4 linked regions of the Caenorhabditis elegans genome follow. Each later gene encodes a partner of the first gene's protein in a complex. Each region holds a gene or a part of one and is shown in the gene's direction. Other genes may lie near its edges. The genes, in order: pat-6, unc-112, pat-2 and pat-4.

What was found.
Region 2: pat-6 (region 1) and unc-112 share a complex: the UniProt entries of both Caenorhabditis elegans proteins name them as parts of the integrin containing attachment complex.
Region 3: pat-6 (region 1) and pat-2 share a complex: the UniProt entries of both Caenorhabditis elegans proteins name them as parts of the integrin containing attachment complex.
Region 4: pat-6 (region 1) and pat-4 share a complex: the UniProt entries of both Caenorhabditis elegans proteins name them as parts of the integrin containing attachment complex.

What each region holds. Positions count from the first base shown.
Region 1 is NC_003282.8:261,379-266,171, reverse strand, and holds pat-6 (Paralyzed arrest at two-fold protein 6), read left to right. Parts: upstream 1-1,939; 5' UTR 1,940-1,947; coding exon 1,948-2,115; intron 2,116-2,160; coding exon 2,161-2,236; intron 2,237-2,281; coding exon 2,282-2,469; intron 2,470-2,529; coding exon 2,530-2,664; intron 2,665-3,211; coding exon 3,212-3,502; intron 3,503-3,557; coding exon 3,558-3,776; intron 3,777-4,112; coding exon 4,113-4,163; 3' UTR 4,164-4,286; downstream 4,287-4,793. Other genes in the region: pqbp-1.1 (WW domain-containing protein), read left to right, coding at 4,492-4,709, 4,762-4,793. UniProt on the Caenorhabditis elegans protein: Involved in the regulation of cell adhesion and cytoskeleton organization. Component of an integrin containing attachment complex, which is required for muscle development and maintenance.
Region 2 is NC_003283.11:14,691,342-14,698,255, reverse strand, and holds unc-112 (Protein unc-112), read left to right. Parts: upstream 1-1,601; 5' UTR 1,602-1,626; coding exon 1,627-1,709; intron 1,710-2,127; coding exon 2,128-2,192; intron 2,193-3,186; coding exon 3,187-3,454; intron 3,455-3,693; coding exon 3,694-4,871; intron 4,872-4,941; coding exon 4,942-5,345; intron 5,346-5,939; coding exon 5,940-6,104; 3' UTR 6,105-6,394; downstream 6,395-6,914. Other genes in the region: gasr-8 (uncharacterized protein), read right to left, coding at 6,395-6,595. UniProt on the Caenorhabditis elegans protein: Component of an integrin containing attachment complex, which is required for muscle development and maintenance. Probable regulator of cell-extracellular matrix adhesion. Required during initial muscle assembly to form dense bodies and M-lines.
Region 3 is NC_003281.10:8,816,985-8,824,926, forward strand, and holds the start of pat-2 (Integrin alpha pat-2), read left to right. Parts: upstream 1-1,914; 5' UTR 1,915-1,917; coding exon 1,918-2,090; intron 2,091-2,137; coding exon 2,138-2,375; intron 2,376-2,421; coding exon 2,422-2,545; intron 2,546-2,862; coding exon 2,863-3,274; intron 3,275-3,337; coding exon 3,338-3,567; intron 3,568-3,816; coding exon 3,817-4,292; intron 4,293-4,348; coding exon 4,349-4,485; intron 4,486-4,577; exon of another isoform or gene 4,578-4,669; intron 4,670-4,709; coding exon 4,710-4,904; intron 4,905-5,378; coding exon 5,379-6,090; intron 6,091-6,547; coding exon 6,548-7,384; intron 7,385-7,847; coding exon 7,848-7,942. UniProt on the Caenorhabditis elegans protein: Required for muscle development probably through the regulation of the actin-myosin cytoskeleton. Component of an integrin containing attachment complex, which is required for muscle maintenance.
Region 4 is NC_003281.10:88,949-96,612, reverse strand, and holds pat-4 (Integrin-linked protein kinase homolog pat-4), read left to right. Parts: upstream 1-1,803; 5' UTR 1,804-1,809; coding exon 1,810-1,905; intron 1,906-2,467; coding exon 2,468-2,773; intron 2,774-3,382; coding exon 3,383-3,479; intron 3,480-3,975; coding exon 3,976-4,121; intron 4,122-4,750; coding exon 4,751-5,006; intron 5,007-5,420; coding exon 5,421-5,514; intron 5,515-5,930; coding exon 5,931-6,189; intron 6,190-6,823; coding exon 6,824-6,970; 3' UTR 6,971-7,160; downstream 7,161-7,664. Other genes in the region: mrpl-40 (Large ribosomal subunit protein mL40), read right to left, coding at 7,461-7,544. UniProt on the Caenorhabditis elegans protein: Probable pseudokinase that acts as an adapter protein. Component of an integrin containing attachment complex, which is required for muscle development and maintenance.

The sequences.
Region 1 (4,793 bases):
ATTCATTAAAGATCAATGGGCACGATTGAAAACATGGCAAAGTTTTATTGAAAAATGAAAAACAGGCAAATATTTGGCTGAAATCGCTCAGTTTTCAGAAAATATCCACACTTTGACTGAAAATGGTGTAGGAATTGATGTAATAACAAGAGACAACAATCGATGTGGTTCCGTTTTTACAAATCGAATTGTTGATAACAAAGAAAATAAGGGAGCGTTTTGAAAATGAAGGAACTGGTTTTTCGATTGTACGAGATACAATAGTTCTTGACACAGACACCTACAATTTGTTGATAACGAAGGATAGACGCATCGGGTTGATGATTAAACAAATTTGAAGGAAGTACACGAAATTTCAAAAATTTAAAGGTGGAGTAGCGTCAATGGGGATTTTGTCTAAATACGCTTATTATGATTTCAAACGACCGAATATCATAATAAAACTACAAAAATTTTTAGATTTTCCCTAATTTCGGTCAAAGTTTTGGCACATTACCAAAATTTTGACAAATATGAGCTTTTGAGGACATCCAAAGCAATGTCGCATATTCCGGTCTTTACAATGATTCAACAAAAATAATTGAAACAAAATTACAGTATAAAAAATGTAGGAAAAATAATTTTTTTTGGTCGACTTCCAAAATTATGAGTGGCAAAAACTGAATATTGAACACTTTTTGACAGTGAATAAAAATTTTTCAAAAAAGTTTTGAAAAGTTTTATTATGATTATTTGTCACTTTGGCACCATAGGAGTATTTTTTAACACTTACTCCATTGGCCCTACTCCACCTTTAATAATTTTCAGATTTCCTAATTTTCTAGATTGCATGCTAATTTTTACAATTACTAGTTCAATGTTTCTTAATCTGATTTCGGTTTAATGCAACTATTATCATACGCCAGGAAATCGAATGTACCGTACGTATAATCAATGTAACTGATGTGATTTTTCATAATTTTTTCCTAAAATTGTTTTTCAAAATTTTTTCAAAAATTGCTATGGAAAAAACTATTTTCAAAAGACCGACCTGTGGACCGACTGTACCGTATTTCCTCTATTAGTCTTGCACTCCTACAGACTAATTGAAAATCAGTCTTACAGCCTGTAATAGTCTAGCACCCCACTTTTTGTCATATTAGCAGAACTTTGTGGAAACGTAAGCAAATTTATCATTTTTGGAGTAAATCAAATGTAAAATCGTTCAAATAATTGATGTAATATTGGGAAAGTATGTATTTTTCATTGTTTGAACGGTCAAAATTGTATCACTTTCCAAAGTTCGAAAAATAGTTTTCAGTCTCTATTAGTCTTGCACCCCTAAAGACCAATTGAAAATTAGTCTCGCATGCAAGACTAATAGCGAAAATACGGTAAATGCAGAGTTGTTGTCTTTCTTAATTTATTTTTATTTTTATTTATTTGAATATTAGTTGTTATATGGACGTCCTTTTCTTTCTCAATACATATGCATATACAAATATTAACTTTCCGTTCTTCTTTCCTATTCCCATACATTTATATGTATCCCAAAGCCTTCTCTCTCCCCCACACACACCATTTATCTGCACCATCCTCTTTTCACCCAATCTCTCATTTGTCGTAAACTCTCCTTCCAACTCTACGTCTCTTATTGTTCCCAACACTCTCTCACTTTTTCAACACTGACGACGGCTGTTTTACACTATCTGCTGGCCTGGATGGGGACTTTTGTGTTGCTCTACGGAAAGAATCCTCCCACACAATATTTTTACTGCTATTTGAACATTGAATTATCGATTTTTCAAATTTAAATTTAAGTGCTTAAAGAGGAAATGTTCCAAAACAGAGTTTCATAATGAGACTTCAAAATTTTTTTAACTTATCAATATCTAATTGTACTTTATTTTTTATTATGAATCAACAAATATTTACCCCTTAATAATTTTAAACTTTTCAGCAATAACCATGTCAACACTTGGTCGTAGTAAGACCCCATCTCGTGACGAACCAAAAAAGCCTGGAGTCTTTGAGAAACTCTCTGGTACCCTTTCTCGAAAGAAGAAGGCGCCGGAAGATGAGCATGGAAACCAAGGGGGTGCACATCATGCTACTGATGAAGATGAAGTTTTGGAGGTTAGTTTTGCAAATTAATGGTTTTAGCAAATATAGATTTTTCAGCTTGAACTTGAAGGTCGTGAGGCTCTCGATCAGTCATTGGTCCCAGTTCTTGCAAGAAACATCTGGTTGGAAGAAGGTAAACGGTTTCACCAATATATTTATCCAATATATTTTTTTCCAGGAGAAATTCGTCGTTATCTGACTAAGGAAACAGCCCGCGATCAGAAGTTGGCACAAGTTGTCGATTTGCTGATCTACTGGCTTAATGAAGAGCTAGCTGATCAAAGAATTGTCGTTCGTCACTTGCAAGAAGATCTTTTCGATGGTCAAATCATCCAGAAGCTGTTGGAAAAGTTGGAGCAGATTCGAGTAAGTTATTGGTACAATTTCACAAATTGAATAAATTCTCCACTCACAGTTTTGTTACAGATCGAGGTTCCAGAAGTTTCGCAGTCAGAAGAAGGACAACGTCAAAAACTGCAAATTGTAGTTCAAACAGCCAATCGAATTCTCGGACAGCCAAGAGAACAAGAGAAATGGTCTGCGGATCTTATTCATCAAAAGGTACGCAAATCTTTGTCTGAATTGTTCATTTCTATCAGTCTTACATTTCATTGTGCAGATGTTTGACGCACTGTAGACAAAAGAGTTTCTCACTCGAAGCTGTTCCAAAAACTACCGTATATTCTATATTAGTATGATATGTTAATCTGTGGACACCTCCGCCACACAATACTATTCATCATTTACTATATATAAAGCGCTTATTCTGTGTGTCCATAGTTTGTAGTCTATGTAGTCTTTGTAGTCTGTGAAGTTTTGGCTTCTTGGGATAGTGAGTTGGGGTTAGTGTAGGGATATAGTCGAAGTACTGTATTGGCACAATAGTGGTACGGTAGGAATACTGTAGTTTCAGAAAAAATCAGTTTTCACCCCCAGGTCCACGGCTGGTAATCTATATAGAAATTCGTGAACTGCAATACTAATTTTCGAGGTGGTTTTTGGATGCAAAACTTATTGAGAATATACGATAGTTGAACGCAACAGTACTTTTCGAATAAACAGAGTTACTTTCCATATTTTATATTTTCTCATAAAAGAATATTCCCAGGACTTCACTGCCATCATCCAGCTCCTGGTGCTTCTTGCTCTTCACTACCGTGCTCCAGTTCGATTCCCAGATAACGTGGTTGCTAACGTTGTGGTGGCTCAAAAGGAACATGGTCAAGTGAAGACCCATCGAATTACTGAGCAAATCACTACAGTTCAAACTGAGTTGGCACCGAAGGGCACTCGTGACGCATTTGATACGCTTTTCGATTATGGACCCGATAAGTTGGCTCATGTGAAGACATCTTTGTTGGCTTTTTGTAATAAGCATTTGAATAAAATTAATCTGGAAGTAAGTTTATTCACTTCATTGTGCTACAAAGAAGCTGATATTTGTAAATTTTTAGGTGTCTGATTTGGATAATCAATTCCAGGACGGAGTTTTCTTAGTTCTCCTAGTGGGACTTCTTGAAGGTTATTTCGTCCCGCTTTACCATTTTAATCTCCAAGTTCAAAGCCACGAGGAGAAAGTAAAAAATGTGCAATTTGCGTTCAAACTTATGGAAGACACTGGCCTTGAGAAGCCTAGATCTCGTGTTCAGGATATTGCCAATGGAGATGTTAAGGTTTGTAGTTTTGACAATTTACAGAAAAATATACCATTTTCCTAATTTAATTCAATTTACAATCCTCAATTTTAAATAGTGCAAAATTTTAAGGGATTGAAATCAAAGTGTAATCGCGCTTCAGCCGGAAATGAAAATGTCCCGCCTCCTTTAATTGGGTCTCGTTAGGTATCGCCATTTGGTTGAAGCGCGATTACATTCGCAGTTGTCGAATTTTCTTTTCACGACGATTCAGCAATCCCGAAGAATTTTAAACAAGTGGCAAAAACAAATTTTCTGCTCATATCTGATGCGATGGATTTTCTATATACAATCCTAATTCATTCTTTATTGCAGAGCACTCTCCGTCTTCTCCATTTGCTTTTCACTAAGTACAAACATATCTAATCTGAGAACTTCATTCGTCATCCTAATCAAACGACACCGTCCAATAATTTGTGTCTGGCTCAACAACTATGGTGCTTTAATTTTGTTAAAATTGCATTTATGTCAATAAATCTTTTAATTTTTAGACTTAGCACTATATTAAATTAAAGAAATTGGCAAATTCCGAAAAAAAAACTCTATTTGAACTCCCTCGTAAAGGAGATTTGCAATGGGGCGCGTTTGCATTAATAAAATTTAATGCATTTTCTCATCGATTCTTTTATTCTTGTTTCTTTATTTTAATTAATATGAATTGATTGTATATAAAATTGTATTTATTTTACAGAAAATGCCTCTTCCACCAGCTCTTCTCGCTCGACTTCAAAAAAGGGGAATTGTAAAGCAAGAAGAAGAGGTTATCGCTGAAAACTATGAAAAAGAGCCAGAAAAGAAAAGTTTCGAAGAGAATTCGGCAGGAGCACCTGGTTGTCCAAATAAATGGAATCAATATCACGTTTGCCTCGAATTTTGCTATGATCATTGGGGCGATGGAACTCCGGAATATCGGTTTGTTTTGAATTTTAGCGAAAAATTAATTAAAAATCGTTTTTTTTTGCAGGTTGCCCGAGAGATATGTGCAGAACAAAAACA
Region 2 (6,914 bases), on another chromosome or scaffold:
ACGCAAAAGCCTCTGCGTACTTCGCAATCTACCGTAGTCATCAATTAATTTTTTTGTCAGTCGCGCGCGACAACATGTCGTGCCGTGCCGAGAAATACTGCATAGGATATAAAAACAAAGAAACGTTAAGTGATAGCTGAAAATATCAGTTTGATTTAAATGGCTACAAGGTTATTCCTTGACACAAAAAATATCCCGTAGGGAAAACTACAGTAATTCTTTAACATCTTTAAATTTCGATTTAAATTTCGGAAACATTGATTTATCGATTGAATATTGAAATTAAGCCGAAAATTAAAAACTAATACGAGGAAACGAAGAAAAATGAATATCGATGTCACTATTCGAAAAGAAAATCATTTCAAAAATCCGTAAATCGACTAAAGCGCTACAGTAGTCATTTTAAGTATTAATATAGTTCTCGCTACGAGATATTTTGCGCACTATGCATTCTCAGAGTTTTGTGTTCCCGTATACACAGTGCTCAAATTCTTCGTCCAAAAAATTTCTGAGCTTATTTCAAGTTTGATCCAACTCTTGTTAATGTCTTATATAACTTTAAAACGATTCAAAAAACGATTAGGTCAAAAAGTTTGATTTTTAACGCCGCCAAAAAAATTTGCATACGCTTTATAAGCAACTTTTGTACCAAGTTTATATTTCTTTTGAGCCAGACTTGGACAAGAAGTTAGCATTTTGTGTCAGCGCATATTGAAATTTCACTACCATTTCTAATATACTGTAAAGGATAGTTACTTTTGTGGAAAATCTGAACTTTTATCAATTGCACCATAAAAGACGAGGTTACCAAGTGTTCACAGTATGAACTTCACACGTGGTGTTAGAGTGTCCCATTGATCTACGTAGTTCACATTGTTCACAAATGTTCACATTATCCAGATATTCTAATTCAGAAACTAGTATACACCTTTCTCCATTTCATTGCACTTCTCCATTCATACCCAACTACCCGTGATATCCTATACTTTTACTCTCTCTCTCTCATGTCCAATGTCCCTTCAGAAGCTGCTTCCTGGCATCTTCCTCCTCCTTCTTCTGCCAAATCTTTCTGCCAGCCGGGGGACGGGACTCTTTGTGTAATGTTGTCTTCTTCTTTTCCTTCATCTACAGCAGCATCGCCTACTGTCATTCCTTCCCATTCCCGCGTAGCCGCCTGCCGAGTGTCCTTCAACTCTCCGTCTCTTCTACAACTGTTCACTCTCTCTCGCTCTCTCATTGCATTTTGGAACATACAGATAGGGAGTCAGAGAGATAGAGAGTGAGAAAAGAAGCGGAGAGACGGTGTTGCTGTGAGTCAGAGACGAAGAGTGTGTACTGCTCCGGCCGTCCGTTTGTTCGTCCGCATCGGCAGTCTTTTCTCTCATTCTCTCATTCTTCAATGTTCTCTAGCCTCTTTTTTCGTTTATTTTATTCTGTATACACGTTCCTCTCTACCTGATATTCTCCCACACATAGCTTTTTTATTGATTTGTTGATTGTTGTTAAGCGGTTTTTTTTGTTTTCTATTCTATCTACCGTGGACGGAGAAAATACACTGTTTCTATAATTTGCTAATCTTTCCAACAACTAAAATATCTCAGTGGTTCTACCTAAATCACTTCAAACATGGCACATCTTGTTGAAGGAACCTCGATTATTGATGGAAAATGGCAATTGCCAATTTTGGTCACCGATTTGAATATTCAAAGGTGAGGATTTAAAATTATATATTTAGAAAATATTAACTTTCAATAGTACTGCATGTTTAGCAGTTGTTCTTAAATAACTGCAATTGCAGGAAGTTATAGAAAAAGATTCAATGCACATTTTCTGAATTCAAGTCATTTTGTCAGAATAAGTGATAATTGAGTTATTCTCGGATTGAGGTTAAGCCTAAACCAATCCTAGGCCCAAGCCTAAGTCTAAGTCTACGACTAACTATAAGAATAAGCCTAAGTCTACGCCGAAGCCTAGCCTAAGTTTAAGCTTAAGCTTAAGTTTAAGCCTTACCCTAAACCCTAGCCTAAATTTTCAGAAGATTCCGGTTAAATTTTTTTCCAAACATGAATGAGACATTTTCAAACTCAGAGTCTTCCAATTTCCAATAAATGTATTTATTTCTTCCAGAAGCATCTCTGTCCTTGGAAATCTTAATGTGGGAGGACTCATGCTCGAACTTGTTAGCGAATGCGGTGAGTTTTTTTTTCGAATCTTATCACCTCGGTCAAGATCTCAAAGATCTCAATAGACCATGATTTCTCTCTTTTCTACTCAATATAATCTGTTAGATATATCTGCCACTGTGTGCGCCTACGCGTTTGTTACAACGAAAAGATACGTGGTGTGTGCACCATTACGAAATGATGTTCAATATCAGTAAAAATTGAAGGCATGGGAAAATGTTGAAATCTGCTGGAAAAAAATGTTCTGGAAAGATAGGGAACACTTTTGGAAACACATCGTAACGGAGCCCTTGAAGAGTGCGCCAAGTGAAAAATTTCTCGTACAATTCTTTCAAGTTTGCTGAAAATTCGTATTTTGAATAAAACAGTTTAATTAAAAAGTTAATTTTTGAGAGATCTTCACGAAATTTTTTAGGGACTGTGAGCTCCGAAATAGTTGACAAGAAGTCCTCTATACATTTTGAAACATCATAGAAACTATGCGGAACCTATCAAATATTTATGGGCTCTTCTCATCTCCTACCAGTTGCTCTTCTCTTTCTTCTTTTTCTTTTCATCCTAACCCCTGTTAATGTTGACTATTCGAGTGCACGCGTGCGCATCTACATAAGCTGATTGTTTCGGATGGGACATTCGCTGTTGGGTACATAAAGTTTAGAGGCTTTCCTTGCAGAGATATAAGAGCACACAATGATAGGGGGTCCCAGGAGAGAGTATCAAAACTTGAGAAGCAACTGGCATTCATCATGACCAAGAGCAGAAAGGGCGCATAGGAGAGGCGCATAAAAACGTTTTGGAATTAAGTTTTCGCGCGATTTTTAGAACTTGCAGAAGCTGAAGGGATGAAGATTTTCTGCATTAGGGTATAACAATTTGTGTGCTCAATGTGTTTAATTTCCAAGTTCAAAATGTAATCATTTGGGCTTCAGCTGAACAAACAATTTACAAAACAGCTGTATTGAAACAAGAATCTAAAAAACTCCAAATATTTCTATTTTTCCAGATGTTGAACGAGATTGGTCTGATCATGCTCTGTGGTGGCCGGAGAAGCGGCGATGGCTTCAACATACTCGATCGACTCTTGACCAGAATGGAATTACAGCTGAAACACAATTGGAGTTCACACCAATGCATAAAGAAGCAAGAATTCAGTTACCAGATATGCAAATGATTGATGCGAGAGTTGATTTCTCGGTAAATTCATTCAAAGCAACAAAGAAATTGTGCCGTGATTTGGGTATTCGATATTCAGAGGAATTGTCTTTGAAGAGGTAAGTAGGAATTGGGAAGTTTTTGATGTTTTATTTTTAATTTAAATAAGAATGGAGTTGTGAAATTCCTTAGTTGGTTGAACGAGGATTGAAGATCCTTGGGAATCTTAAGCAACTAGGGAAAATCTATGCCTGATCGAAATCCTGCCCCAAAAGTTTGAGCAAGGTCAAAAGTTAACTACTACCGAGCATGTGAAATAACCCAATAATTCAAAATCATATAATTTAAAATATTACAGATATATTCCACCAGAGGATCTTCGACGTGGAACATCTGACGCCGACAACATGAACGGTCCACTCTCAATGCGTCCAGGAGAAGAATCAGTTGGACCAATGACTCTCCGTAAAGCTGCTCCAATCTTTGCTTCTCAATCGAATCTTGATATGCGCCGTCGTGGTCAATCACCCGCGCTCTCCCAATCTGGACACATTTTCAATGCTCACGAAATGGGAACTCTTCCTCGCCACGGAACATTGCCACGTGGTGTCAGTCCATCGCCAGGAGCATATAACGATACGATGAGAAGAACACCAATTATGCCAAGCATCAGTTTTAGTGAAGGACTTGAAAATGAGCAATTTGATGATGCTCTTATTCATTCACCAAGACTTGCTCCAAGCCGTGATACTCCAGTATTTAGACCTCAGAACTATGTGGAAAAAGCTGCGATTAATAGAGGATGGCTTGATTCTAGCAGATCACTTATGGAACAAGGAATTTTTGAAGGAGATATTATTTTACTACGATTCAAATTTATGAATTTCTTTGATTTGAATCCAAAATATGATCCAGTGAGAATTAATCAACTTTACGAGCAAGCAAAATGGAGCATTTTACTTGATGAATTCGATCACACAGAGGAAGAAGCCACACTATTTGCTGCTCTTCAACTTCAAGCAACCCTGCAAAGAGATTCTCCTGAACCTGAAGAAAATAATAAAGATGATGTGGATATTCTTTTGGACGAGCTTGAGCAAAACCTTGACGCAGCTGCTCTTAACAGACGATCAGATCTTACACAAGTTCCCGAGTTAGCAGATTATTTGAAATATATGAAACCAAAGAAATTGGCAGCATTCAAAGGATTTAAACGGGCATTCTTCTCGTTCCGTGACTTATATTTATCATATCATCAAAGCTCCTCAGATGTCAACTCAGCTCCACTTGGACACTTCTCATTGAAGGGATGTGAAGTTAGTCAGGATGTTTCAGTTGGACAGCAGAAGTATCATATCAAATTGTTACTTCCAACTGCTGAAGGAATGATTGACTTCATTTTGAAATGCGATTCCGAGCATCAATATGCCAGGTGGATGGCTGCGTGTCGGTTAGCATCCAGAGGGAAGTCAATGGCTGATTCGTCATATCAACAGGAGGTGGAGAGCATCAAAAACTTGCTCAAGATGCAAAGTGGTAAGTTGTTGATTTTACAATTTAATAAGTGATAATGAAATTATTTTCTTCGAATGAAACAATTTTTCAGGTAATGGAAACGAAAACGGAAACAGCAACACAGCTTCGCGAAAAGCCGCCGCTGTAAAACTACCAAATGATTTCAATGTTGATGAGTACATATCGTCGAAATACGTACGACGAGCACGCAGCAAGCAACAAATTCAACAGCGAGTATCAGATGCTCATGGAAATGTTCGACAACTCACGGCAACCGAAGCGAAACTTCAATATATCCGAGCATGGCAAGCACTTCCCGAACACGGAATTCATTATTTCATTGTAAGATTCCGAAATGCTAGAAAGGCGGAATTGGTGGCTGTTGCTGTGAATAGACTTGCAAAATTGAATATGGATAATGGAGAAAGTCTGAAGACATGGAGGTTTGCAAATATGAAGAAGTGGCATGTCAACTGGGAAATTCGACATCTCAAGGTTAGTTTTTGATGAATAAAATATTTAAGATCTGGACATGATCGGAAATCGAAAAATTGCAAAATGTTGAGAACGTTTTCGAGACCTATTCATCTAAGTTTCTTGTAACAACTTTCTGATTGTTAATCTATTTTGTGATGTCTTGAAATTACGTTTTCATCTCAAAATCTTTCCTAATATGTATATCTAAACACAAAGAACAATTGGCTTTCAAAAAATCTTTGTATTGTTTCAAAAATTATAATATTGCGTTTTTGATTCAATTGTTGTTTTCTATCCATAAGTCTATTCGCCGTAACTTACTAAAAAATTCAGGTCTTTGGTAATTTAAAATCTAAATCAGATAATGTTCTCAAAGACCGAAACTTTTTCGGTAAACTTGGTGCTGACAGGAAGGTAGGCAGACTTCATGCCTATTTGCCTACATGCCAGCGTTGCACCTTGAGCGTTTTAGAAATAAATTTTTAAAATCTGTTTTGTGCCTACATAAAAGGCTTAGATAAACCCGAAAATAACCGAGAACAAACTTTTTGAAATTAATTACTTTTTTTCTTTGAGTATACTATTTTATCATCCTATCTCCCCAATTTCCAGATTCAATTCGAAGATGAGGATATCGAATTCAAGCCACTTTCCGCTGATTGCAAAGTCGTTCACGAGTTCATCGGTGGATACATTTTCCTGTCAATGCGAAGCAAAGAACATTCTCAAAATCTTGATGAAGAACTTTTCCACAAACTTACAGGAGGATGGGCTTAGATATTTAAATTTCTATAATCTTTTGCAAACCAAAGAATTTTAATTTTAGGCTCCAATTCCATCTTTTTCGTTTCAAAATTTCAATATATATATTTGTTTTCTTTCATTTTTCTTGTTTCTCATTTCCCCCCTTCCCCTCTTCCAAATAATTTTTCGTTTTAATAAGACAAGTATACCGGATCGAAAAAAAGTTTTATGTGCCTTTTCATATCTATGGATTAATAATAATTGTATGAGAAAAATTGAAAAATATTATAAAAATTGAATAATAAAAACTGATGAATAAACATTTAAAATCTTCTTCCGCGTTCCTCGAGCTTTTCGAATTTTTGTTGATTGCTGATTTCTAGTCTTCCAACGTTTCGTTCAACTTCAATCAGCAACTGATCTCGCTCTTTTTCCAGTTTTTCAAATTCTCCCATCACAATATCATTGAGTTCCTTGTATTTTTCAACTTCTTTCCTCATATTCTCAACGTTTCGCATATCTCGCTGGAATAATAATCAGGAAATTATAGTCATTTTCCATCTTTTCTGGTAGTAGGCAAACGTAGGTACAAGGCAGGCAGGCACTGTTCTGCTATCTAGCTACCTACCTAACTACCTAGGAATCCTTAATCTGTTCTATTCAACCATATAAAATCAATAGTACAAAACATATCGGCAATATAAATTTGATAGAAAAAAAGCAAATAAGTTTGTATCCCGTTATTTAAAAATTTGTTTTCAAACGGATTGAAATCATGTGAAAACATGTTCAAGAAGTATCAAGAAATTTGAAACAAAATTTTCAAGCAACAGCAAAAAATAT
Region 3 (7,942 bases), on another chromosome or scaffold:
GATCGGTAATAAATATTTAATTGTTTTAGGTTGTAATGAAACGGTAATGTTCACCATGTATTAGTTGAAAAGCTATTATGAAGATTATTAATCTTTATAGAAGGGATTATGATTTTTTTGTTGCTTAGTTAGTCAACGTTACTTTTCACAAATGACCCATCAATTTAAGATTCTTTTTTCAAAACCTACCTCCTAATTTAACTTCCCTTAAATCTTGTCGACATCTTTTTTTTCCAAAAATTCATTTTCCTCCTAACCACCCAATTAATTCATCCTCCCCCCGTTCCCTCAATTTATCACTTGTTCCTCTCTATTCAAAACATGACCTTTTTGTCGGAGAGGGAACAGTCACCAGTCAACCATATCTTGGATTCTACTGACAATTACTTCATGCCCACATCCCAATACTCTCTATTACATGAACTTTTCACCAATATATAAAATGTTGTTCGTATACTGATGGGCTTCAAGTAGGCGTGATTTTTAAAACACATACTACAAATATTGGAGAAAGTGCCGTATTTGTTCTATTAGTATTGGTGCAATACGTTTTTGACCACAATATTTATGTACTTGAATTAACTAGATTTCACTGTGAAAACTGAAACTTTAAAAACTTTAAAATCTGTGGCAACTTATTGTCGAATTTTGGCAGGAAGTTTCCCTGATATTCCAAGTAGGTTCAAAAATTGAATTCAATTATCAAATTTTGGTCTGGTCAGATTGAACGTCTACTATTATAATAATTTTGCAAGTTTTTCAAAATATTAGAAAATCTCTTTGGTGTTTCAAAAATAGTAACTGCATATCTACTTGATTCCAAACTAATTGCTTCTCGTGTCCCCAAATAAGTGGTGCCTCTTCCTCCGCCCCCTTCCATCCTCCCAATTTCATCCTCAATTCATGCTTCCATCAATGTCTACGTCTCTTCGTCTCTCACACTCTCTCACCATTAGACATATGTTTGATAACTATCCGGAAACTGAAGAAACTATGTGTCCCTTCCTCCCTTCTCTATTTCAAACGACTCTTGACTCATCGTATTTTTCGGAAATTCATGGGATAACTATGAGTCTCCAGATGCCAGTTTTGTTTCGGAATTTCCTTTTTGTACGTTTTTCACAAACTTCGAATTTCTGATTTTTAACTCGTAGTCCAGCCAATATTCTGAATATTTTGAGGGTTCTCCGGTAATTTTAAAGATTTTCGAATGAGTACAACTCAAAAGCTAGAGGTTCCAGCAAACAACTTTCAACAGTCAAAACATTTTGAAATAGTTCAATTGAGCATTTGAGAAAATATTGTTGTTGGCTCTCGCTCAATACACAACAAATATTGAGATTTATGCAAAATTCGAATTGCTCCTTACTTTGCTTCTTCATCAATCTTGCTCCACGTGTCACGGGTCATTTTGTTCCCCCGTTAATTTCCGTTCGCTCACTTCTCCTGTTCGTTCAATTCATTTCTTGATATGTTCATGACTCAATGTGAGTGTGTCAAATGCTCGTAGAGCTCCCTTCTCAATTATAAATGACTTGTCGTCTTCGGAGGGTCAGTTCTTTGTTTCGCAATCGCGTGTGCTCTGTTCAATTCCATTTTTCCTTCCTTCCGGTTTTTGGAAAAGACACCGATTAGGCTTCATTGATCCACATGTTAACTGAGAATTTGAAATTATCTCAGTGAAATTGGTCGCTACTTTGAATTTAATTCATTTAGACATGAAAAACGTTCCAAAATTAAAATTCAAGCAAAGTTCTTTATTTTCCCTTTCAAAAATATTTCTTGGAACTTTTGAATTTGAGATTTTGAAATTTTTTTTCTATTCAATCAACTTCTAAAATCGTTTCATCTTCCGTATACTCGTTGCAAACTTCTTTCTGATTGTTTTCAAAAAACCGAATTCCAAATTTCCAGTAGATGCGAGAGGGTAGTTTTCCGCGAAGGATCGGCTTGCTTCTAGGCTTACTGGGCCTTTTAGCCGGAGTTGCCACCTTCAACATCGACACAAAAAATGTAGTGGTTCATCACATGGCTGGTAACTACTTTGGATACTCACTCGATTTTTACCATGAGCAGAAGGGAATGCCTGTGTAAGTTATTGAATTAACTGAACAGATTTTACATTCAAAAATTTCAGCCTCGTTGTCGGTGCCCCTGAAGCTGAAAGCAATAACCCAAACCTGGCTGGAATCCGAAGACCTGGAGCAGTTTATGCTTGCTCCGTGAACCGGGCAACATGCCGAGAAGTCCACGTGGATAAAATGAAGGGAAACTTGAAGAAACTCAATGGATCACATCTTGTTCCAATTGAAGAAAAATCACATCAATTCTTTGGTGCAACTGTTCGATCAAATGATAAGCATGATAAAATTGTGGTAGGTTTATTCTGCGGAGTTTGAAAATTAAAAATTAAATTTCCAGGTGTGTGCTCCAAAATACACATATTTCTACTCAAAATTCGAAGTTATTGAGCCAGTTGGAACCTGTTTCTATGCTGAAAATGGATTTGATAATGCGGAGGAGTTTTCATCGTGCAAACAAGAACGTATGTTTTGGGGATACTTAATTGGTACTGCAGGGGTACTGTAGTTTTGGAAAAAGGAGTTCGAGAAAAGAAAGTTCTGGGAAGTTCTAGAAACTTCTGAAAATTTTGAGGAATTGCAGGAATATTTTAATAGTTTGAAAAGTTTCTGCAACCCTCAAGACACTGTTAAAAACGTCTTAAAATTTTGAGATTTTTTTGGAAAATTCTAGAAACTTCTAGAGGCTCCTGAAAAAAATCTGAAAATTGTTGAACCTTTTGGAATAGTTCAGAGTTCGAACAATTGGTAACTTTATAAAAAATTAGATGAAAAATTACAGCTGCTCGCCACGGTCGTCATCGTCTTGGATACGGTCAGTGCGGATTCTCGGCTGCAGTTCCAGGAAAGAAGAATCAAAATCGTGTTTTTATTGGAGCCCCCGGTGTGTGGTATTGGCAAGGAGCAATGTTCTCACAGAACATCAAAAATCAGACAGACCGCCCGAATACCGAGTACGGTAGCAAGGAATACGATCACGATATGATGGGATATTCTACAGCAACTGGAGATTTTGATGGAGATGGTATTGATGATATTGTTGCCGGAGTTCCACGTGGAAACGATTTGCACGGAAAATTGGTGTTATACACGTCGAAACTGAAGATGATGATCAATTTGACTGATGAGGTGTCAACTCAACATGGACAATATTGTGGAGGATCTGTTGCAGTTGCTGATGTAAATAAAGATGGGTAAGTGAGATTCACAAACACATAAAATTACAATTCTCTAAATATTCTCTGTATTAATTTCAGACGCGACGACATTATCATGGGCTGCCCATTCTACACAGATTACGGTAGCGTGAAAGACGCAAAAACACAAGAAAGAAAACCACAATACGATGTCGGAAAGGTCATTGTGATGCTTCAAACTGCTCCAGGAGTCTTTGGAAAACAGATTGCAGTTGTTGGAGATGATCAGTGGGGACGATTTGGACACGCAGTCGCAGCAGCTGGAGACTTGAATTTGGATGGTTATAATGGTAGGGATTTTGCTACTAAAAATGAACGAATTTGAATTTCTCACAGAAATTATTTTACGCGGAAATTCAAATTTAGTTTTCGTATTTTCACTTTTCTTTTTCTTAATTTAACAATTTCTTTAGACATAAAAAATCCTAGATTATCGGAAATTTGTGCGGCATTTTGAACTTTCAATCTCATTTGAACCGCTATGGAAATTTATTGCATTTTTTGTTGGAAATTTTAAATTACAAAATAGTGTTTTTCAGATGTAATTGTTGGTGCACCATATGCTGGAAAAAACAAACAAGGAGCTGTTTATGTGATCCACGGATCCAAAGATGGTGTTCGCGAACTACCAACTCAGAAGATCGAAGGAGCCAATATTGGTCATGGAAATATCAAATCATTTGGCTTCTCCCTTACTGGAAACGAAGATGTTGATGGAAATGGAATGCCAGACATTGCAGTTGGAGCATGGAAATCTGGAAATGCAGCTGTTTTACTCACAAAACCAGTTGTCACTGTCACGGGACAAACTGAACCAGAGAGTGCATTGATCAGTGTAGAAGATAAGAATTGCGATGTTGATGGAAAATTGGGAAAACAGGCATGCAAACATATTAATACATGTTTCAAATATGAAGGAAAAGGAGATACACCAAATGATTTGGAATTTGATCTTCGATTCAATCTTGATGATCATTCTCCTGAACCAAGAGCTTATTTCTTGCAAAAAGATGTGGTAGGTCACTTTTTTAAAACTAGATAAAAATTTTTAACACAATAATAATATTTCAGAAATCTGACAGAAGCATTAAAGTTGCACAAGGATCTAAAACAAGAGACCATCCATCTTCAATCGAACAACGTGTTCGTCTTGAGAAGGGACGACAAAAGTGTTTCAGACATCGATTCTTTGCTTCTTCCACAATGAAGTGAGTTTTCAGAGAAAATATTTTGATTTTCTTTCAAAGTTTTTCAACTCAAAATGACCACAACTTTTTAAATTTTTTTATCAGAAAAAATTGAGAAAATGTTTGCTCTGCTGTGAAAAAAAGTTCAAGGCTAATTTTTGAATGTAAAATAGTTCGTATGCTTTGCAAACCTTCAAATTAGAAAATAAAATGTTTTCTAAAAATCAAAAATAAAATAATTTCAGAGACAAGCTCTCCCCAATTCATTGGTCCGTCAACTACACATATGTTGAATCAAAAACCGGAAAACTTCGTGGTGATAAGCTTGAACCAGCAATTGACACAACTGTACCACTTTCATTCCAAAATAAGATTAATATTGCAAATAATTGTGGAAAAGATGATCTTTGTGTTCCTGATTTGAAGGTTACCGCTGTTGCGTAAGTTTTTTTAATTTTCAAAATGATCGATAAAAAGTGTTGAAAAAATACATTAAATATGCCATTTTTTCATTGAATATAAAAGAAAGGGAAACATTGAAAATCCTCATTACAGTAAGTTTGAAAAATTATTGAAAAAATGGGTTTGTCTCGAAATGTTTTAATCATTACTCTAATTTTAAAATTTTCAAAAAAATATAAGGAAATGAGCGAGAAAAATTGAATATAACACAAAATACAATGTAACCTAACTCGACAATTTTCAAAACATTTTTTATAATGAGACAAGTTCACAGCCATTTTTAAAATGTTTGCTTCAGGATTTTCCTGTCAAAATAATTCCACGAAGATTGTATGTTTCTTTTCTTCACGGAATCGGCGAAATTTTCAGTGAAATCATATCATTAAAATAATTATTCCTAAACCTATAAACCAAATGCCAGCAATTAAATTCTTTTAAACATATTTTTTCAGTGATCGTGAGAAATTCCTTTTGGGAACTCAAGACAATACAATGCTTATCAATGTAACAGTTCAAAATGGAGGAGAAGATTCATATGAGACAAAACTTTATTTCGATGTTCCACAAGGATTCGAATACGGTGGAATTGAAAGTGTTGGTGGAGATGGAAGCAAGTCTGCTCCAGCTTGTTCTCCAACTTCCGATGAACCAGATTCGGATGGAAAATGGACTTTTGCATGTGATCTCGGCAATCCACTTCCAGCTAACAAAGTAGTTAGTAGTGTTGTAAGAGTGACTGCTTCTTCTGATAAACCTCCACTTGCTCCAATCAGTATTAATGCTCATGTGAACAGTAGTAATGATGAAGAAGCTCATACTGTTGCTGATAATAAAGTCACATTCACTATTCCAGTTGATTTTAAGAATCAATTGAGTTTGAATGGTAGATCAAATCCCGAACAAGTCGATTTCTCAATGACGAACAAAACACGTGTAGATGCTTTCGATGACAATGAAATTGGTCCAGTTGTTTCACATCTTTATCAAATCAGTAATCGTGGTCCATCTGAGGTTGACTCAGCTACTTTGGATATCTTCTGGCCATCATTTTCCACTGAAGGAGGTCATCTTCTGTACATTATCACAGAACCAGTTGTTAATCCACCAAATAAAGGAAGATGTCGGGTCAAACAACTGCAAAATGTTAATCCATTGAATTTGAGGGTACGTTTGAATAATTTTTAAATTTCTAGACATTACTTTAAAGGTACACGCTGTTTTTCTGAGTGGGTCTTGCCACGATCTCATAGTCGTTGCAAATCCCCAATTTCTGTAGACACTGAATTTTATAACTCTGTACATTTAAAATTGCAGTGAAATACGGAAGGAACTATTTTGTTTTAGAAATAGAAGTAAGAAACTTTATCATTTTTAGGATAAAATTCAAATTTCTTGGGAAATTTTGAAGAATTGTTTTCGTCAGTTTCTGAAATGTTTAGAATCGGCGAGTTAAAAAAAAATATTGGAAACAATCGAATATGCTGAAATATCACAAAAAAAATTGATTTTCCGGTTCGGGCTGACAAACTTCACTTTTTTCAATTCAGAATCCTGAACATCTTATTTTATAAATGTTCACAAAAAATTACTGTCGCACATTAAAAACGAATTAAAATTTCAGATAACAAATGAGCATGTTCCAACTGAACCACCAGTTGCCAAGACACCAAATGAATATTCAAGAGAAGAAGATGATGAATCATATGAAGATGAAACAACAACTCAATCCCAATCAACACGTCATCAATCTACACAACATCAAACTCATCATCAATCTGGTCCAGTACATGTATACGAAAAAGACGAGGAGAAGATTCGTCAGAATACTGGAAATTGGCAATATGTTGAGGATAAAAAGAAGAAGGGAGATTATGAATATATTCCAGACGATCAGGAATATGATGGAGATGATTTTGAAGAGGAAGATGATGAAGATTTTGATAGAGCTGGAAGTAAGAGAGTTAAAAGAAATCCAACACCAAAGAAGAAGAAGAAGGGAGGAGAACACCGTGGTGAACCAAGAAGTGATAAGGCTAGATTCTCTGATCTTCGTGAAGCTGTTAAACTTTCGAAGGAAGCTGGAGGAGTTGTTGATTATAAGGGACCACTATCAAGAGCATCTGTTGATTGTAATTCATTGAGATGTACACATATTGAATGTGATATTTATGATCTTAAAGAAGACGAGTTTGTACTTGTGGAAATCTTCTCTAGATTATACACAAACACATTGGTTGATGAGAAAAATCCTGGAGGAGACATTTCATCGTTGGCTCTTGCTCGTGTCACATCTACTAAATACAATCTTCCACATAAGCCAACATTGATAACAGCAGTATCTACAAATATGAATGCAATTGCTTCTGAAGAAGGAAGAGATCTTCCTTGGTGGCTTTATCTTTTGGCTATTCTTATTGGACTTGCCATTTTGATTCTTCTTATTTTACTGCTCTGGAGGGTGAGTTTCAAATTTAATTTTCAAAAATACGATTTATTACATAACAACATAGATATTGGCTTGCAAGTTAAATTAAAGTTCTTTCGCCAACTTTCATGCTTACTTGTGACGCAGCAAAAATTATATCTTAATTTCCAATTTTGTGAAGCGGTTTCTCAAAGCCTCATTGATTTATTCGGATGGGCCTCGCCGCGAGAAAAGTTTATGGTTCAAACTCTGCCATTTTCGAAAGGTAAAAAATGATTGTCACAAAGATTAAGAAAAACTGAATTTAAAAGAAGTTGCCTACGACATTAAAGCTGTGCTCACACGCTTTCGAAAATTTCACAGCAACGTCCACGGCGAGCTTACGTCGGGGGTACTGTAGAATATAGGTAGATCAGAGCGACTACAGTATACAACCAATTTCGAAACAAATTTACAGTTTCCCTCAGAAAATAAATAATAATAATCTAATTTTCAGTGTGGTTTCTTCAAACGTAATCGTCCACCAACTGAGCATGCAGAACTCCGTGCCGACCGTCAACCAAATGCTCAATACGCTGATAGTCAATCCCG
Region 4 (7,664 bases), on another chromosome or scaffold:
TCTTCTCTCGCATTTTTTGTAGAAGATCTACGTAGATCAAACCGAAATGGGACACTCCGACTCCCCCCGCTGGAATTGTCAGAAAATCAATAATTTTCTACGCAACCCTCCCGGTCCCCAAAATCCTTGGCATCATCATCATCAATGCTCAGTTTCCATCCGAGAATCGTGTTACAACATCCGTCCCTGCTTCTCTGCGTCTCCTATCTCTCTCCATATCTCTTTATCTCTAACTCACACGACTCCCACGGGAACCAAATCTCTGCGTCTCTCACTGCATTTCACACTCTCTCTCCCCCGTCTCTTCTCTTTCTCTCAAATGTTCTTGAATACCTTCTTCCGATGAGCTTCTCGCCCCCTCAAAACCAACTCAATTTTATGATATACTTTCTAGTGATATGATATTCCGTTATTTTTCTGCCACGTGGCAAAATTTTGGGATGTTAGGCCACGTTAGGCCCTTTCTTGGCTGTTTTGGGAAAAGCGTCTGAAAATGGTTTTTTGTCTGAAAAACGTCATTGAATTTTAGTGCTGCAATTGTGAAGTGGTAACTTTGTTAAGCTTCACAATTTTTCGTTATGCTCCGGGTTCAGGTATTTTGTAAACCCAGTCTTTGAGAAGAAAATTGCTAAAAAAACTTGGGTCCCGCCACGAAAACGCTAGGAATTTCAAGAGTTTTTACAGGAATTGATACATAACTTTTCAGTGCTGTAGAGGAAAAATTTACAGATCTTTTGGGCACAAAAATGTGCGATGGGGGCTTTGAAATAACGTGAAAATTTTTTTTGAATTACTTTTTTAATCAAAAAAGTCCTTTGGAATATTGGGGTTTTTTAAAGCTTTTTTAGCAAATTTATACTATTCTGAAAACCCTTAAACTGCTTAATTTAATGAAACTAGGTATAACTTTGTCGAACTATTTTCAGCCAAGTTACAGTAATTCTTCTGAAACTCGCTGCGGAGCTTCAGAGCAAAAATTACGATTTCCTCAAAATTTTTAAGAGAAAGTTACCATAAATTAATATTTTTCTGATGGCTCGGAAATTTTCCTATTCAAATTTTGAATTTTCAAGACCAGAAGCTCGTTTTCAGCCAAATTTTAGAGCTTTTTCAGGAGTTAGCTGTGAAAGGTAAAATTGGAAAATGTCCTAGAAGCGAATTTGCCGGTTTTTTGATAAAAATTTTCAGGCAAAATCCAGGCAAATTTGTACTTTTCTGAAAGCCCGAATTCTCATCTTTTCAAATTCTTAGCATTCAAGACCAGAAGCTCATTTCAAGCGAAGTTTCAGAGCTTTTTCTGAGCCAACCTCTAGACGACGGAATGGTCAACGAAAAGATATCCCACAATCGCTTGCCGTTTGTTCTCTGCGCGGGATACTACTCCCTCTCCACAATACATACATTTACAACAAATTTCGTCTTGTTCTCTGCGTCTCCTACATAGTCCTCTACTATCTCGCCTGGCCAGCGGGGGAACAATGTTGACCCCCCCCCCCCCATGCCGTCGCCTCAGCAAAATTCTACTGCTTTCTGTTGTACTTATTGCATTGTTTATTTGTCTATGTCTCTTATATCTAACTTTTTTGGCTTGAAATTATAGATTCCGGGCTTCATGGGGCCCGGGAAAAAGTTGGAAAAATTGAGAAAATTTGGAAATTTTTGGAGATTTTTATTGATTTTTTAATAGTTTTTTTCTTCAATTTTCACCGATTTTTTTTGTTGTAATTTTACATGTTCCTGCTCAATTTTTCTTGATTTTTTCAAATTTTACACTATTTCACACGTAAAACCTTATATTTCCAGTCAACAATGTCTTTGTCGACTCATTACCATGCGCACAAGCCAAATGTGCCCATTATAATGGAGGATGTGTTTGGATGGGTCCGCGAGGGTAACGCTTTTCAGGTGAGTTTTGTAAATATTTTTATGGGGTTAGGCTCGATGAGAGCTTTTGAAAAAGTATAATTTTGTATAGGTTTTTGAAAAAAAAAATTTGGAAAAAAATTGAAAATGTTTGGAAATTATTTTTTTTAATTCTAGAAAAATTCAAATTTTTTCGCTGAAAAGTGGGCGGAGCGTATATGAATTTATACTTTTTTGAAAGTTAATGTTTTTCCTCAATTAAAAAAATTTAAATTTAAATCCGAAATTCTGAGATTTTCTAAAAAAAAAATTCATTAAAAATTTTTTTTTTTTAAATTTAAATTCCTATTTAAAATGGCGGAGCTTATACAAATTTATACTTTTCTAAAAGTTAAAATTAAGCTGAATTTGAAAAAAATTGTTGCCAATTTGAAAAATCAAGTTTAAAGCTAGATTTTAAGCTTAAATCTGGAATTTCCGGTAATTTTTGTCCGATTTTTCTTTTCATGCTAACTTGATCAACTTTCACCGAAATTGTCCAATTTTTTTGCAGAGGATTTATCACAATCCTTACTATAGACTAAGACTACTATCAAAATTTCAGGTCCGCGTCTGGTTGGACGATCACGAGCACGATCTCAACGTCGGAGACGATCACGCCTTCTCACTGCTCCACTGGGCCGCGAAGGGCGGCCACGTGGCGATTGCAGAGATGCTCCTGTCACGTGGAGCACGTGTAAACTCTACGAATATGGGAGATGACACGTCATTGCATTTGGCGGCCGCCCATGGACACCGACAAATTGTGGTGAAGCTTTTGTCGAGAAAAGCCGATGTTAACGCTACCAACGAGCACGGAATGACTCCACTGCATTATGCTTGCTTTTGGGGATATGAACAAATTGCTGAGGTGATTTTATTGATAAATTCGAATAGAGCTTGTTTAGAGCTTCAAAATAAGTATAAACTCGATTGGGAAAATTTTTTGGGAAAATTGGAAAAAAATGATTTTTCAAAAAATTCAGAAAATTTTTTTTCCAAATTTTCGAATAAGTTCTTCTCGGAAAGTTTTAATTTCGCAATGAAAATGTATAGTTTAGGTGAAATTATTTTTATAATCAAATATAACTAGATTTGAGCTTTAATAAATGTATAAATTCATAAAGGATGCGCCCACTTTTGACCAAAAATTTTGAGCTTTTTTTTGCCGGAAAAAATTTCTGAAAAAAAAATCATTTTTTCAACACTTTATAACTTTGGAAGTTTTTTGGCTATTTTTTTTTATGTTTTCATACTTGCGTCCTAAATATTTTAAAATTTCAATTTATTATACCAAAAACACAAAAAGTCCCTATTTACAGTAGCCCCTGGGAGTTTTCGTGGCGGGACCCAAAAATTTATCGAAAATTTGTAGAATTTTCAAAACCCGGGCATGATTATACTTTTTTGAAAGCTCTTAACAAGCTGAATTTGAATTTGTTAATAATTACCTTGATTTCTTGCAAAATAACAACTTCAGGACCTAATCTCCTGCGGCGCCGCTGTCAACGTGTGCAACAAGAAGGGAATGACCCCACTGGACGTTTGCCAGCCAATGTGCAAAAACACTATTTTGGGTAAGTTTTTTGTGCATTTTAATCTGAAAATTGAATTTTTTTAGTCGGAAAACATATAGATAAGATTTTTAGAAGAAAAAATGCATTTTTTGAAAAAAAAAACATTTTTCAACATTTTTACAACTTTTCAAAAACTCATAACTTTTTAGTTTTCAAGCGATTCGATTTAATTTAACGTTAAAATAAGTCTAAAAGATCAAGCTTTTTGGTAAATTAACTTAAAAAATTGAAAAACATAAACTACAGTAACCCTATAAGTTTTCGTGGTGAGACCCAAAAATTCTGAAGTCTTCTGGGCAATGCTCATTTTGTGTGGAGCCTGGGCATGATTATACTTTTCAGAAAGCTCTTGGTGAGCAAAATTTAATTTTGATACTTAAAAATAATGTGTACAAAAATTTAATGTTTTTTTCAGCAAAGACTTTTGACTCGCAAAAAGTTTTTTTTTTGGGATGACTTTTTTCTAATAAATTTTTAAATTATCGATTTTTTCTAGAAATTGCTCAAGAACATGGACAATCTCCAAATGACCGTGTACCATTCAAGGATACCACATGGAAGGGTACAAAGTCCCGTACTCGGGACGCCACACTGTCCCGCTACACCGGAGTCGACGTCTCCTCGCTGAATTTGATCACTAAAGTGGGTTATAGATTTTTTCAGTGGAAAATAACTTAAAAATTCAAATTCAGCGTAAAAAATTAGTTTCAATCGTTGAAGGATGGGAATTTTCCGCGAATTTCGAAGTTTCTGAAAAAATTCGAAAAAAAAAATTTTTTAAGGAAAATTTTCAAACATTGAAAAAATCATAACTTTGACTGTTTTTGAGATTTTCAGCCGGTTTTAACCTCAAAATATGCACAAAAACTTGTTCTACGTCAATAAAATATTAAAATACTGTATTGACACAAAACAGCTTAACACTATGGATTTTCGCGGTGGGACTCAAAAACTCGTCGAAAATTGGAACCCGCTACGTAAACTTCCAGAATTCACTTACCGTAGTGTATATTATTATTTAATATAAATAATACTGTTTTTCAATATTTTATACGTGTTTTATGTCAAAAATCTGCAAAAAATCTTAAAAATTGGCAAAGTTATTAAGATTTGAAATGTTTGAAAAAAAAACTTCATTTTCGAAATAAAAATTTTTTTTGACCTGAGTAAATGTATACTTTTCTGAAAGTCTAGATCAAGATGAACTTGATAAGCTACCTCAAACTTTAAAAATCCCAAAAATTTCCAGCTTAACCCCCACTCTGTTACAGATCGCTGAATCACACTCCGGAGAACTGTGGCGTGGAAAATGGCAGGGCAACGATATTGTGGCGCGAATTTTGAATGTTCAAGAAGTGACCGCCCGTATCTCACGTGACTTCCAGACCGAGTTTCCGGCTCTTCGTATTTTTGCTCATCCGAATATTTGTGCGGTGCTCGCCGCGGCTAACCAGCCACCGAACTTGGTGATCATCTCGCAGTACATGCCATTTGGAAGCCTGTATAACGTGCTCCACGAGCAAAGTTGTGAGTTTTGAAGGTTTTCATTGAAAAGGGCGCAAAAATTAGTCCTAGAAAATGTTTTGAAAATTTTTTTTTTTGATTTCGAAAAAGTAGAAAAAAATTTTTTTTTGATAAATTTTTTTTTTTCAAAATTTGTACTTTTCCCAATTTTTGAGATTTTTTGTTAAAATACTGCGCACAGATAACTCAAAAAATTGTCTTTTTAGTAAAATTATCAATATCATATTAGATAACTTATCTACAGTAACCCAACAGTTTTCGTGGCGAGACCCAAAAATTCTCGAATTCATGCTAAAATGGCCGGAGCCTAGGCATGATTATACTTTTCTGAAAGCTCTTAACGAGATCTATTAGATTTTGACATTAATTTGTGAAAAATCGCTGAAATAATTTAATAAAATCAATAAAATATTGCAGCTGTCGTCATTGATCACGGGCAAGCCGTCAGATTCGCGTTGGACATTGCTAGAGGAATGAGCTACTTGCACAGTTTGGACCCTATGCTTTTGAGGTTAGTGTGGTTGAATGGAGCTTAAAAAGAGCTCCCAGAAAAGTATAAATTTTTATAGGCTCCGCCCATTTTTCTGGCGGGAAAATTTGAATTTTATGTTTTTAAAAAAATTTGGATTTTTTTTTCCAAATTTCAAAAGTTCATAACTTTTTTAGTTTTTGATACTTTCAAACGGTTTTTGGCTTAAAATGTGCCTGAAATAATGTTCTTCGAAAAGTAGCTACAACAAAAATTTTCAAAAATTGTTTTCAGGAATCCAAGAGTTTTTGGGGCACTACTCGAAAAAAAACTTAAAAAAAATTTTTTTTTTTTTTTTTTTTAATTTTTTAATTTTCCCCCCATTTTTTTACGTTTCTTAACTAATTTTAGAGTTTCAGATAATTTAAGCTATCATAAGCCTAAAGCCCAGTTTCCAGGTTCTACCTCTCCTCCAAACACGTTGTAGTCGACGAGGAGCTCACCGCCAAACTCTCAATGGCAGATACGAAATTCTCGTTCCAAGAGGTCGGAAAAGCCTATTCGCCTGCCTGGATGAGCCCAGAAGCCTTGTCACGGGCTCCAGAAGACTTGAATATTAGAGCTGCCGATATGTGGTCATTTGCTATATTGTTGTGGGAGCTGAACACTCGTGAGGTCCCATTCTCTGATCTACCGCCAATGGAATGCGGAATGAAGGTAAGGGAGGGTTTTTGGAGGGCTGAAAGTGTGAAAAATGATGTTAAAATCCTAAAATTAATCTATCAGTTAATTTCGGATGAAATTTTGGAAAAAAATTTTTTTTTGGCCCAAAAAAAATTGTTTTTCTATTATTTTTTTCAAAAGTGTTCATTCTTAAATTCAAACTCAGAAGCTCAAAACAGGCCGTGACAACATTTTTTAGCTCGTTTGGGCTCAATGTCGTAAGATTCGGTGTTTGCGTACTTCCGAGACTACAGTACCCCGAAAGCCCTGAAAATGGAATAGAAACGTCTAGTAACGACTGACCACGCTCAAAATTTTGCGAGAAATTCGAATTGAACCACAGTTTGTTGACATTTTGAGATAAAATCAAAATTTTTTTCTGAAATTTTGTCAAAAAATTCGAATTTCTTCGTATAATTTTGATCAAATATAATTTTTATCAAAAAATTTGAATTTCCCGTCACTTTCTACCTCAATAAACTCAAAAAACTCATTTTCCACCGCTTTTCTGCAAGTCGTCGTCAGATTCAGTGTTTGCGTACTTTTAGGGTTACAGTACCCCTTACACCTCCAAAATCAGCGTTTCCAGACCCAAATTTCACGCTGAATCCAAATTTATTAATTTCAGATCGCTCTGGAAGGTCTCCGAGTGCACATTCCCCCTGGAATCGCCCGTAATATGAACCGTTTGATGAACATTTGCATGAACGAGGACCCGGGACGTCGGCCAAACTTTGATCAAATCATTCCGATTTTAGAGAGAATGATATTATGATTTATCGATTTTGCTTTTCTAATGTTTTCAACAATTTTTTTAAAATTCAATTTATCAAAGCTTTACATCAAAAGTGCCTGCTCCTTGTCCAGCCCCATCGCATTTTCCGTCTATATATTAATTTTAAATGTTAAACTGTCAAAAAAAATTGCTCAATTTATGAAAAAATCAATAAAATCTTATGAAATGTAAGGATTACTGTACGCAAACACTCTTCGACAAAAAAGTTCGCTGCAGTAAGTTTCATGTATCCAAATAATCAGTTGCCAAAAATTTGCACGTGTAGCCTAGTGGCTAGTGACCTCGCCCGCCAATCACAGGGCCTGGGTTCGATCCCCGCAGTGGCAAATTTATTTTTTCCAGCTCGGTTTCACTGAAATTTTTAGTTTTTTCCATAAAAATCGATAATTCCTTTATTAATGCGTCATCCTATGTCACTGTCTACAACAAAAATACCCATAAAACACATAAAAATCAACAATTTTCGGCTCTAAGATGCCCAATTTCTCGTAGTATCAATGTAGTCGCCGTCCGGAGCCTCGTAGTTTCGAATGGGCGGAGTCAGTGAGGGTCCCTGTAAGAAATTTTAAAGGATTTTTCGGAATTTTTTAATTTTTAGAAAAAAAAATTTGGAAAATTCCAGGTTTTTTAAAAAAATTTTTTAACCAATTTTCGGAATTTTTCGCAAAATGTC